Linked DNA regions of Callithrix jacchus. The protein of the gene in region 2 interacts with the protein of the main gene of each other region in a biochemical or structural test. Links are inferred from orthologs where the notes say so. Each region holds a gene or a part of one and is shown on either strand. Other genes may lie near its edges.

Region 1 (3,747 bases), on a different chromosome or scaffold from region 2:
AAATTCAGGAGTTTGAGACCAGCCTGACCAACATGGTGAAACCCTGTCTCCACTAAAAAAAAAAAAAAAAACTCAAAAATTAGCCAGGCATGGGGGTGGGTGCCTGTAAGCCCAGCTACTCAGAAGGCTGAGGCGGGAGAATTGCTTGAACCCAGGAAGTGGAGGTTGCAGATTGCACCACTGCACTCCATCCAGCCTGGGCGACAGAGTGAGACTGTCTCAAAAAAACCAACAAGGACAACAACAAAAAGCATACATTTACTCTCTTAAGTTAACAGCTCTGAGCCATACCTATCCGTGGCCTTGGAGTCCAGTCACTAGAGCTTGCATGTGAGGCTCTATCCTCCTCATCACTTTCACAGGAATGAAAACCATTAGTGATAATTTCATCACCGAACAGAAGGTTATCTGCAAAACAAACCAAAAGTCAGCCAAGACTACCAAAACAATGTGCACCTAATATGTATGAAGACCCATAAAGGGTTATAGTGTAATCATTTTCATTAAGCATTTAACATTTATATTGTATGTGTAAATGCTATGGGGTCGGCTTGCACTTCTCATAGGTACAGTTTCTTCATATTTAGGAATTCTGCTCTGACTCTAAAAGTTTCGGCCAAAATCTAAAAATAAATTAAGTCTACTTAAACAGAAAAGATAGTAACATATAGAAAGTATCAACCACAAACAATAGAGTTCGTGAAACTTGTAATAAATGGAAATTTACACAAAAATGTCATTCAAATAAAACTGGCAAAGTGCACTTTAAATTCATATAATACTAAACATAGGTATCTCTGAATTGTTTCCTCTATTAAATAATAAACAGTATTAACAACACAATTATTAAATTAGCATTCAACTGTGTTGCTTGAAATCAGGGTCTCTTGACCGGGCACAGCGGCTCACGCCTGTAATCCCAGCACTTTGGGAGGCCGAAGCGGGCGGATCACCTGAGGTCGGGAGATCGAGACTACACTGACCAACGTGATGAAACCCCATCTCTATATTTTAAAAAAAATTAATAATAATAAAAAAAGGCACACATTACTTTTTTTGAGACAGGGTCTCACTGTGTTGTCCACCGTGGAGTGCAGTGGCGCGATCATAGTTCACTGCAACCTCGAACTCCTGGGCTCAAGAGATCCTCCCGCCTCAGTAGCTCGGACTACAACTGTGCACCACCATGCACGGCTAATCTTTTTAAAAAATTTTTAGTAGAAAGGTGGTCTCACTATGTTGCCCAGGCTGGTCTAAAACTTCCAGGCTCAAGAGATCCTCCCGCTTTGGCCTCCCAAAGGGCTGGGATTACAAGAAAGAGACACTGCGCCCGGCCTGACCCAAATATTGATAAAGATGAACACCTCTCAAAAATAGAAATTCCTCAGATGAAAAATATAAAACCTTCAAAAACACGACAAATGCAACATATCTGCTTCATTATACTAGCAATGTTAAATGTGTCTCAGTACATACATACAAAAGAGTATGCTTCGCCTCAACACCGTCACCGTACACAAGAGCAAGATTAAAATAAAAGTAATACGAACTGCTCTAAAAGTAGTATGACTCTCCCATGCCCACTACTAACTGCATTACAGAATGGTAATGTCTTCAGGAACAGCCATGTTCTTTATATTTTGCAGGCTGTGACTACAGAAACAGCTTTGCTCTTTTAAAAATTGTAATTTCAGGCATAAAAATATAGACCCTAAAAAAAAGCAAATTGCACAAGTGTCAGATTGCAAAAAGTAATTGAAAATGCCGACGAACGGGGACAGCAAAAAGTTGCAGACTTAAGTGTCCTGGGGGGAGGGCGGGGAGAAAAAAGCAACCCCCCCCCAAAAAAAAGGGGGAAAAAAAAAAGCTCTAACAAAAGCAATATGCTAAAAGAGTAAGAGGGAAAAGAGAAAACTTATTTTAAAGCGACTGCGAGAGCCTCCCGACCTGGCTGCTGCGCAAAGCGCAAGGCCTCCCAGGCCGGCCACAGACAGAGAAAAAGCGAATCCACCCGCAGCTCCCGCAGCAGGAACGGCAGCCCCGGAGGAGCGCAATTAAGCGGAGGGCCGTGGTGGGGAAGAGAACGCCACGGAGCCTGCCCCGAGTCTCCGGCGCGTCCCAGAGACCCCCTCAACCCCACGCCAGGAAGATCCCCGGGAGAGGGAGGAGGGGATGCGCAGTTCCGGCAGCCCGCACCCTGCGCACCTCGGTACCCAATCGCCGCCGCCGCCGCCGCCTCTTCCTCCTCGTCGCCCTCGTCGTCGTCGTCGTCGTCGTCTTCGTCGTAGAAGTCGTCAGCCGGCGGTGGCTCCTGAGATAGGCCCTGCAGGCCCGGCCCATTGTCTCCTTCCCCAGCCACGGCCGTCGCCTGGGCCTCTTGTTCCCCGCCCGCCGCCGCCGCTCCCCCTGCCCCTGCCTCCGCCTCCCGCCACAGCGCCGCCGCAGCCGCCGGGCAGCTCTCGGCCGCCGCCGGCACCTCACGCTCCGGGGCCGTCCCACCGAGCTCGTTCGGGCTCCGCTCGGGGCCAGGACCATCTCTCCGCGGCCTCTTGCGGAGCGGCTCCCCGGCGGGCGGGGACGCGGCCTCCCTCTCGGCCGCCGCCGCCGAGGGGGAGCCGCCGGGCTGAAGGACCAGGGCCGCCTCGTCCGCCATCTTCCAACTGCCTCTCTGGCCCTCCTCCGTCGCCTCCTCTGCTCCCGCTTGACGCGCGGCACTGGCGCCCCCGCGGCTCCGGCTGCGGGAGATTTAAACCCCGTCACGTGACCCGCCCCATCGCCACCCCCGCCCTCTAGGCGCTCCCGCCACCCACGCGGGCCAGACCACAACACTACGGGTCACGTGGCGGGCGGAGGCAGCTGCGTCTACTACTCCGCCTGAGCTGGTAGGAAACTGTGCCCCGGCGGCCCGCGGCCGTACCCTTCTGTGGCACAGGCGTGTTGTGCAGCCAAATTCGCCCCTCGGCCGCTTTCTCAGCTTCTCTTTCAAACCGACCTCAAATCATTACCGCCCGAACAACTCCAGTTTTGGTCCGCACTGGGAATTTTTACTTCTGCCTCAAGTGTACACCTGGCCTGCCTTAGCCTTGTCTAGATTTAGCTAAGGGTTAAAACACACATGAAGCTGGCTAAGACTCAGCTCCCTTAAATACGCTGGATAGCCGTTCTGTTTCGTCAATGGGTAGGAAGAGAGGCAAAAGGAGGCGGCTCCCTTCCCACCCTCCTCACAAGCACACCATTCTCACAGTTCTTCTTTAGCTTTTTTCTGCTCCTTGCTTCTCTCCTTAGTCGGTTGTTTTTGCCCCTCTCCGTCACTTGTAGGGTGGTATAGATTGTCAGATCCTTTAAGGCATATGTCCTCATGGGAAGACGACCTTTGACACGAGGGTTTGGAGATCAGCTGGTTTGCATTCTGGCCCCAGCTTGGCTTCAAGCGTGTGTGAATTCCCTTCTCTGGGGCTCAGTTTTCTCACGTACAGAATGGGTGTGTTGGGTCAGTATGAGGAGAGTATGGAAGGAAAAGGACTTGGCCTCCATGCACATCTGCGCTTGGTTAAAATTTGGAGTCCTTCCTTTCTAGCATGAGCTATCTATGTAGCCGTTTGTTTATTTATTTATTTATTTATTTATTTATTTGAGACGCAGTTTTGCCCTTGTTACCCAGGCTGGAGTGCAATGGTGCGATGTCGGCTCACCGCAATCTCCGCCTCCTGGGTTCAGGCAATTCTCCTGCATCAGCCTCCTGAGTAG
Region 2 (3,747 bases):
TAGTAGAGACAGGGTTTCATCATGTTGGCCAGAATGGTCTCGATCTCTTGACCTCACGATCCGCCTGCCTCGGCCTCCCCAAAGTGCTGGGATTACAGGCGTGAGCCACCACGCCCGACCACACCAGGATCTCTTACAATCCAAGGGCCCAGAGAAAACCTTGCAGAGCCTCTCGTGCTGGAAGATGAAATGTCAAACCAGGACCCTCAGAACGGTGGTCACACACCCCTCTTGAGCAGAATCTTGGAGCTCAGAATAATCCCACTCAAAGACCAACACATTAGTAACCTCCGAAAGCTGGGAAAGAGACTTCCCCAATGCCACCCACTCCTGCACCCTAACCCTTGCCTGGAACATCTGAAATCTAGGACACCCTGCAGCCCCTACCTATCCCTCCTGGTTCCTCAAGCCCCACAGCCACCATCTTCCACCAATGCCATCCTCTGGGATGGCAAGAATCACAGTATGGCTAGCAAAAGGCCACTCATGGAAGGAATCTAGGCCAAAAACTGGGCTAGACTCAAAAATCTCTCAATTTCCTTTCCAAACCAAAGCTAGTGTATGTCTACAAAAAGCTGGAAATGCCAAACCAAACTCTGGGTAAGTCGCTGACAAATCAAACCTAAAACACTTCCAGCAATCATCATCACTTATACTCCATGGATCCACAAAGCCTCACTTTCCCTAGCAGTGTCTTGTACCACATGTGTGCCAGCGAACCACTAACCCAGTAAGCCCTTCACACCATGCCTTTCCCTGTTTGCACATGCTGGGCCCTTCACCACCAAGACTGAGAAGTCCCTGATAAGTAACCTTAAACCCTTTATACCCTCCTGCAGCACAGTAAGGTCTCCCCTGTCTCCCGTTCTTGTTCCCTCCCACCTACACCCAGAAGACTACACACCACAACCCCAGTTTTCCTGCTTTTGGAGTTCTGCCCTCAGGCCCTTCAAGTGGCACCCCCTAGAGAACTCTAGAACCCATCCACCAGATGCAACCAACATTAGGAAAGCAGCTGAGGACACACTGGAGAGCAACTTCAATAGCCCCCTCAGCCTCATGTACCAGTAGAGCGCACAGTGTGATCCTTGGTGTACTTCACCCGCTGGTGTGCCTCTACACAGGTCTCACACAGAGGCTCCGAGCACTCCACACAGTAGCTGGTGGCTGGGGCATTATCCTCACAGCTAGTGCAGCACTGCCAGATAAAGACAAGATAAGAGAAAGCAAGACAACCTGATAGGTCCACATTTACATTCCAGAAAATACAACCCGAGATCAAGATTGGTCCCTGGACCCAGCCTAGGCAGCCCACCCAGAGCCTTGGGAAAGGGGAGTTAACAAGCCTGGAGCTGGTGCAAAGCTCCTCCTGGCCACATGTCCCCTCCCCATAAGCAGAGACCTCTTTGTGGATGCTGAGGTAGGACGCACCTGGTTCGCATCCTGGGCGTCGGTGGCAGTCTTGCTGCCACTGTCACGCATGAAATAATTCTCCACGATGTCTTTGGAGAAGCATTGTTGCTTGCATACGGGACAGTCCACCACTTCGAGAGACAGGGATGTGGGAAACTGTTACAAGTTCCCACCCAGGATATGGCCGGCCACATCCCCCTGCCGGCCGCCCCCCCACCCGACCATTATCCCGCAGCGAGCCAGCCCCTCCCCTCCCCGAGCCTTTTTTCTCCAACTTAAGTCAAATGTCCCATTCTCAGCGGCCGGCCCAGACCCACGTTGCTATGCAGAACCCAGGAAGTACTCCCCGTGCCCTGTCCGAGCCCCCATCCTCTAGCCCAGGTGGCATCCTCATCTCTGCACCCAGGCGGAATCAAAGGCAGAGAGTGGGGGAGGGGTGGCCGGAGCCCTGACCACTTCGTACTTACCTGCGCCGTCTCCCGCCGCCCCGCCGTCCCCCGAACTGTTGGCGGAAGCGGGCGCCGCGGGGCCTAGGCAGGCACTACAGGCCGAGTGCAAACAAGGCAGCAGGCGGGGCTCCCTCTCGGGTCGCAGGCGCTCTCTGCACACGCCGCAGTGCTCCAACAGCTCCAGCGCCTCGGCGCCGCCCCCCGCGGGCGACGACGCCGCGGCCGAGGCCGACGCCGAGCCTGCGGCCGAAGAGGCGGTGCTGCGCTTTTCGCCGCCAGCGGAGCCCTCACCCGGGCCGGGGCTGCCAGAGGCGGCCGAGGCCGCTGCTGCCGAGGCCGCCGCCGCCGAGGCCGCCATTCACACGCCGCCGGGGGCGCCCAGGGGGGAGGAGGGGCGCGGGGCCCGCCGCGCAGGCGCAGAGGCGCTCGCCGCCAACTGCTGGGCCGCTGCCGCCGCCGCCGCCGCGAGGCCGATCGCCGCCACGCGCCTCCTGGGCTGCTGCCCACCGCGCGCAGGACGCTGTTTGCGACACGGCCAGCTGCCGCTTGCTCGCTTTACGAAGGCGCCGCCCGCGCTTCTCCAGCCGCCGCCGAAATCCTCACCACGCGCCACAAGCACACCCGCTCGCCCGCGCGCTGCTCGCAGAAAGAGCCGCGACTGAGGGGCGGGACAGAAATAACTGGCGCCGACGACGCCGCGCACGCGCAAGGGGCGCCGCACGCCCGGGGGCGGGGCCCAGGACGGTCGGTGCGGGGAAAGGCCCCCAGTACGCAAGCGCCCACCCCGGTTCCCTCCACCACCGCCAGCCCTACCTCGGTGGGGCTCTGATGGTAGCGGGGCGGGGCATACGTGACGTCACTGCCGCAATGTAATCCGCCAGCGGGGCGTGCGCACCTTTATAGAGTGTGAGTCCCGTCTCAGCGCCGCCTCCAGACCACACTGAAGGAGGCCATTGAGCGCCCAAGCGCGTGGGCAGTTCGTACCAACCCCTCAACCAGCGTCTCTTCGTCCCGCTTAGAGTCTCTCCAGCCTCGGCGTCACTAAGAGTTCGGGATAGGGGGCAGGGCCGATGGGGAGGTGGGCGGGGCCAGGATCGAGTGAAGGGCTGTGCCCAGGGGAGAGGGGAGGAGAGTCTCCATCCTACTAGGAGGGAGGCAGCTCCTGGGTGAGCGCAGAGGCTGACTTTTGGAATCTAGCCACGTTATGATTAAACTTGAGAAACACAGAGAGTGGGGAGGAGGTGAAGGGGAAAAAAAAAGAAAAAGAAAAAATAATAGTCGTGAGAAACACAGAAACTCACAAATCAAATGTAGATCACGGCCGGGCGCCATGGCTCATCCCTGTAATCCCACCACTTTGGGAGGCGAGTAGGGAGGCTCCATTTAGCCCAGGACGCCGAGGCGCAGTGAGCTGGGACTGTGCCACTGCACGCCAGCCTGGACAACAGATCGAGAAAAATGTTTTTGTTTTGCTGTGTCGCCCAGGCTGGAGTGCAATGGCGCGATCTCGGCTCACTGCAACCTCCGCCTCCCGGGTCCAAGCAATTCCCCTGCCTCAGCCTTCCGAATAGCTGGGATTACAGGCGCTCACTACCACGCCCGGCTAATTTTTGCATTTTTAGTAGAGACAGGGCTTCACCATGTTGGCCAGGCTACTGTCGAACTTCCGATCTCAGGTGATCCACTCGCTTCGGCCTCCCAAAGTGCTGAAATTACAGGTGTGAGCCACTACGCCCGGTCCCCCCGCCCCAAAAAATGTAAATCACAAGAGGCTACAGAGCAAGGAGTGTGAAATCCCATCCAGCCCCCCCAGGAGTCCCTTCTGCTTGTTTTAGTCAGCAGCTACCCTGACTTTGACCCTTTTCCAGGTGGGAAAACTGAACCT
Region 3 (3,647 bases), on a different chromosome or scaffold from region 2:
GGGTAACTGGATCATGAGGTTAGGGGATTGAGACCAGCATGCTCAACATGGTGAAACCTTGTCTCAACTAAAAAAAAAAACCACAAAAATTAGCTGGGCTGGGGATGGGCGCCTGTAATCACAGCTACTCAGGAGACTGAAGCAGTAGAATTGCTTCAACCTGGGAGGCAGAAGTTGCAGTGTGCTGAGATGGCACCACTGCACTCCAGCCTGGGCTACAGTGAGACTCCTGTCTCATTAAAAAAACAAACGAAAAATGAAAGCAGTCTTCTACATTACCTATTACATTGCACATGGCATGTGCAGTATAATCATGCTAGTGGCCTAAAGTTTTGGGAGAAGAGGGAAGAACCCGTCCATTTCCAAATGTTTTGATGGGCAAAAATAATTTTTCATGTTTCATGGGCTTAAAAAAGTATGTACTTATGATACATACTGAATTTCAACTAAGAATACTGGAGAATAAAACAGGCAAACCTAAATCTCCTATTCAACTCATGATTCCCAAACTGCCATGCATTAAATGTGAAGAGCAGGGGAAGCAGGAGATAACAGATATGCGAAGCCCAATCATTTGACTATCATATGCTCCATCTCTAGCCTGCTCAGGAAATTGATCTCCACCTATCCATTTTTAATTGTCACTGCCTATGGAGCTTTGTGGTTTAAGGGGGAAGATACCAAGCAGATAAGCACAACATACACAACTGTTAAAAGTATGTAATTTCTGCTTGTTCAAGTTTTTCACATTTTGTTAATGACTAAAATTATCAAGAATAGTGAGAGCAATTCATAACAAAGAACACAAGGAACCAGAGAGGTAAAAAAAATGCCGAGCCTTGACGGGCGCGGTGGTGCACGCCTGTAGTCCCCTACTTGGGAGGCAGAGGTGGGAGGACTGCTTGAGCCCAGGAGTTCTGGGCTGTAGTGTACTATGCTGATCAGGGGTCCGCACTAAGTTTGGCATCAATATGGTGACCTCTTGGAAGCGGGTGACCACCAGTTTACCTAAAGAGGGGTGAACCGGCCCAGGTAGGAAACAGATCAGGTTAAAACTCCTGTGATGATGAGCAGTAGGAATGTGCCTGTGAATAGCCACTGCACTCCAGCCTGGACAATACAGTGAGACTCCATCTCTTAGAAAAAAAAAAAGCCCAGGGTCTAATTCTTAGGTATTAGGATATAATAAACCTAGTATAAACCCTAGATTATGAGTACTCTCCTGTATGAGACCCACTAGCCTATATTGTATAGCTTCAATGTTTTTTAGTACCCTCTGCGTGGAGGAAAATAATGCAAATTATTCTAATTAGTATGATACCTAACCAAATTAAAATATATTACATAGTAAACTACACTTTGTAATTTTATAAATTTGACTCCCCAGGGTAATAAACTAGTCTCTAGTCTGGCTCGGCTGTACAATGAAATCTTGGTTCTTTTTAAAATAAGATACCTAAATTAAAGGGGTCTTTACATTTAAAGATGTCTATGGAAAAGCAGGTAAAAGCCAGGTTAAAAACAGATTTTAAAACCACTTAGCTGCAGTTAAACATACAATAAAGAAGCACTAAGGTTTCTTACTGTAAGATAACTAAATTACAGGGGTCTTTATATTTAAAGATGTCTATGGGAAAGCAGGTAAAAGTCAGGTTAAAAACATTTTAAAACCACTCAGCTGCAGTTAAACACACAATAAAGAAGCACTAAGGTTTCTTACTCTGTAAATCCCTTCCACTTCAGGAAATATTCCACTTTCCCATTTACTACACGTCGATCTAGTACTTTTTCCACCACAAATTCTTCAGGCTCTGCCTCTTCAACTTTTTTACTCTTTCCATTCTGTTTCTTTCCCATTTTTTGCTAAAATAAAACAAAAGAGAAATTAAGAAAAATTCTTCTCGAGTTTTAAGCACATTTTCAAGGCTATACTGCTTATATTATTACATTCAACAAAAATTTTTAATTCTTTTTTTTTTTTTTTTTTTTAAGACGGAGTTTTGCTCGTTACCCAGTCTGGAGTGCAATGGTGCGATCTTGGCTCACCGCAATCTCCGCCTCCTGGGTTCAGGCAATTCTCCTGCCTCAGCCTCCTGAGTAGCTGGGATTACAGGCACGCACCACCATGCCCAGCTAATTTTTTGTATTTTTAGTAGAGACAGGGTTTCACCATGTTGACCAGGATCGTCTCGATCTCTTGATCTCGTGATCCACCCGCCTCGGCCTCCCAAAAAATTTTTACTTCTATATCCCAGGGCCTTCTGGAAAGATTAAAAGTCAACAGACAATAAAAGAACGCTTTATTCTGTTGATTTAGCTGAAACTTATGACCCACCACCCAAAATAACACAATCAAAAACATTATCTGGAAAATAGTCATCTTTTCCAAGTCTTATCTCTAGGTAGTCTCACAAGACCAAGTTTACTAGAGTTTTCACTCATTTTAACAACACAGCAACAACTGTGTAGGAAGTACTTAAAGGATGATACAGGTAAGAAAGCAGTAGTGACAGGTCTTCGGTGAACCCACGAAAGACCTTACAGACATCCCCAGACAGTAAGAGCCTCCTTCTCAAATCAAATATTAATGTCAAAAGCTCCAATGATATAGAGAAAATATAACAGCAGAATGAAAATACAGTTCAAAATCCTGATACCAACTGCAGGGTCAACTATGGAGACCACAAGGGGGTTAAAGGACAAGATTATTTTTCCATAATCTCTATAGCTATTTCTTACCACTTAGAACAAACCTATAAAGCTGTCACTTCAAGAGGCCAAAATGGCAGATTCATTTTAATTACCTAATGTGAAAAAAATCATTCTTTCCGGGTTTCTCAAGAGAAAATCTTAACTGGTAGTCAACCAAATTCACTTTAAACAGGCATTGGGGGCTTTTTTTTGGTGTAACACTCTTTAGGAGAAGTAGGAGACCAACTTCAACCAGTTCTTTCCAGTAACTCAAGACATGTTATGAGAAGTTTAAAAATGGGGAAAATTTCAAAAACCTGAAATGGTTAATCAGAAGATACTATGGGTTGAGAAGGAATCTATCTTAAAATTTCACCTTAAAACAAATGTTATTAAAATAAGATAAACCTCCACTGCCCAGTCATCCCACAACTAAAGCACCGAAACACACAAAAAAGCAACACCTCAAGTCTAAAAAATGACATTTTAAGCTATGCAGGCATATGGAGTGTGCAGACACCTATGCAAGAAAGGCCTCAAGACTGCAAAAGGACATTTCAAGCTATGCAAACATATAGGTGTACATACACACACACACACACGAATTAAAAATCCCCTAGAATACAAAAAAGTGCAGCAAACACCTGACTGTTTTGAATGCCATTTCCAAGTCAGGTCTTAACGATTCTCATTAGTAAAGATAGTTGAGTACTGGGCCCAGTCAAATAGCTTTCTACCTCTGTACAGTAAAAGAAGGTAGGAATCATAGTGGGAGGAATATAGACAAACTGCGATAGAGAGAAGTGTGTTAGATACCTATAGTAGATGAAAAACAAAACAGCTACTGCCACAAAGGGAGAAGGCTAACAAAATGAAGAGGAAGTCAAAAATAAATACAGAAAGCAAAAAGGATACACACTAAGATTAAAAAAAAAAAAAAAAAAAGGCAGACAAAA

The links.
Region 1: of the proteins of TRIM28 (region 2) and SIRT1, one has a biochemical effect on the other in vitro, tested with the Homo sapiens proteins (2 studies listed by BioGRID). The link is inferred for Callithrix jacchus from reciprocal best matches to the Homo sapiens genes TRIM28 and SIRT1.
Region 3: the proteins of TRIM28 (region 2) and CBX3 form a complex in vitro, tested with the Homo sapiens proteins (2 studies listed by BioGRID). The link is inferred for Callithrix jacchus from reciprocal best matches to the Homo sapiens genes TRIM28 and CBX3.

Annotation. Positions count from the first base shown.
Region 1 is NC_133513.1:62,528,879-62,532,625, forward strand, and holds the start of SIRT1 (NAD-dependent protein deacetylase sirtuin-1), read right to left. Parts: upstream 2,663-3,747; 5' UTR 2,654-2,662; coding exon 2,206-2,653; intron 2,163-2,205; exon of another isoform or gene 1,948-2,162; intron 409-1,947; coding exon 292-408; intron 1-291. UniProt on the Homo sapiens protein: NAD-dependent protein deacetylase that links transcriptional regulation directly to intracellular energetics and participates in the coordination of several separated cellular functions such as cell cycle, response to DNA damage, metabolism, apoptosis and autophagy.
Region 2 is NC_133523.1:51,179,333-51,183,079, reverse strand, and holds the start of TRIM28 (transcription intermediary factor 1-beta), read right to left. Parts: upstream 2,523-3,747; 5' UTR 2,221-2,522; coding exon 1,881-2,220; intron 1,545-1,880; coding exon 1,432-1,544; intron 1,199-1,431; coding exon 1,066-1,198; intron 1-1,065. UniProt on the Homo sapiens protein: Nuclear corepressor for KRAB domain-containing zinc finger proteins (KRAB-ZFPs).
Region 3 is NC_133512.1:31,895,046-31,898,692, forward strand, and holds part of CBX3 (chromobox protein homolog 3), read right to left. Parts: intron 1,864-3,647; coding exon 1,721-1,863; intron 1-1,720.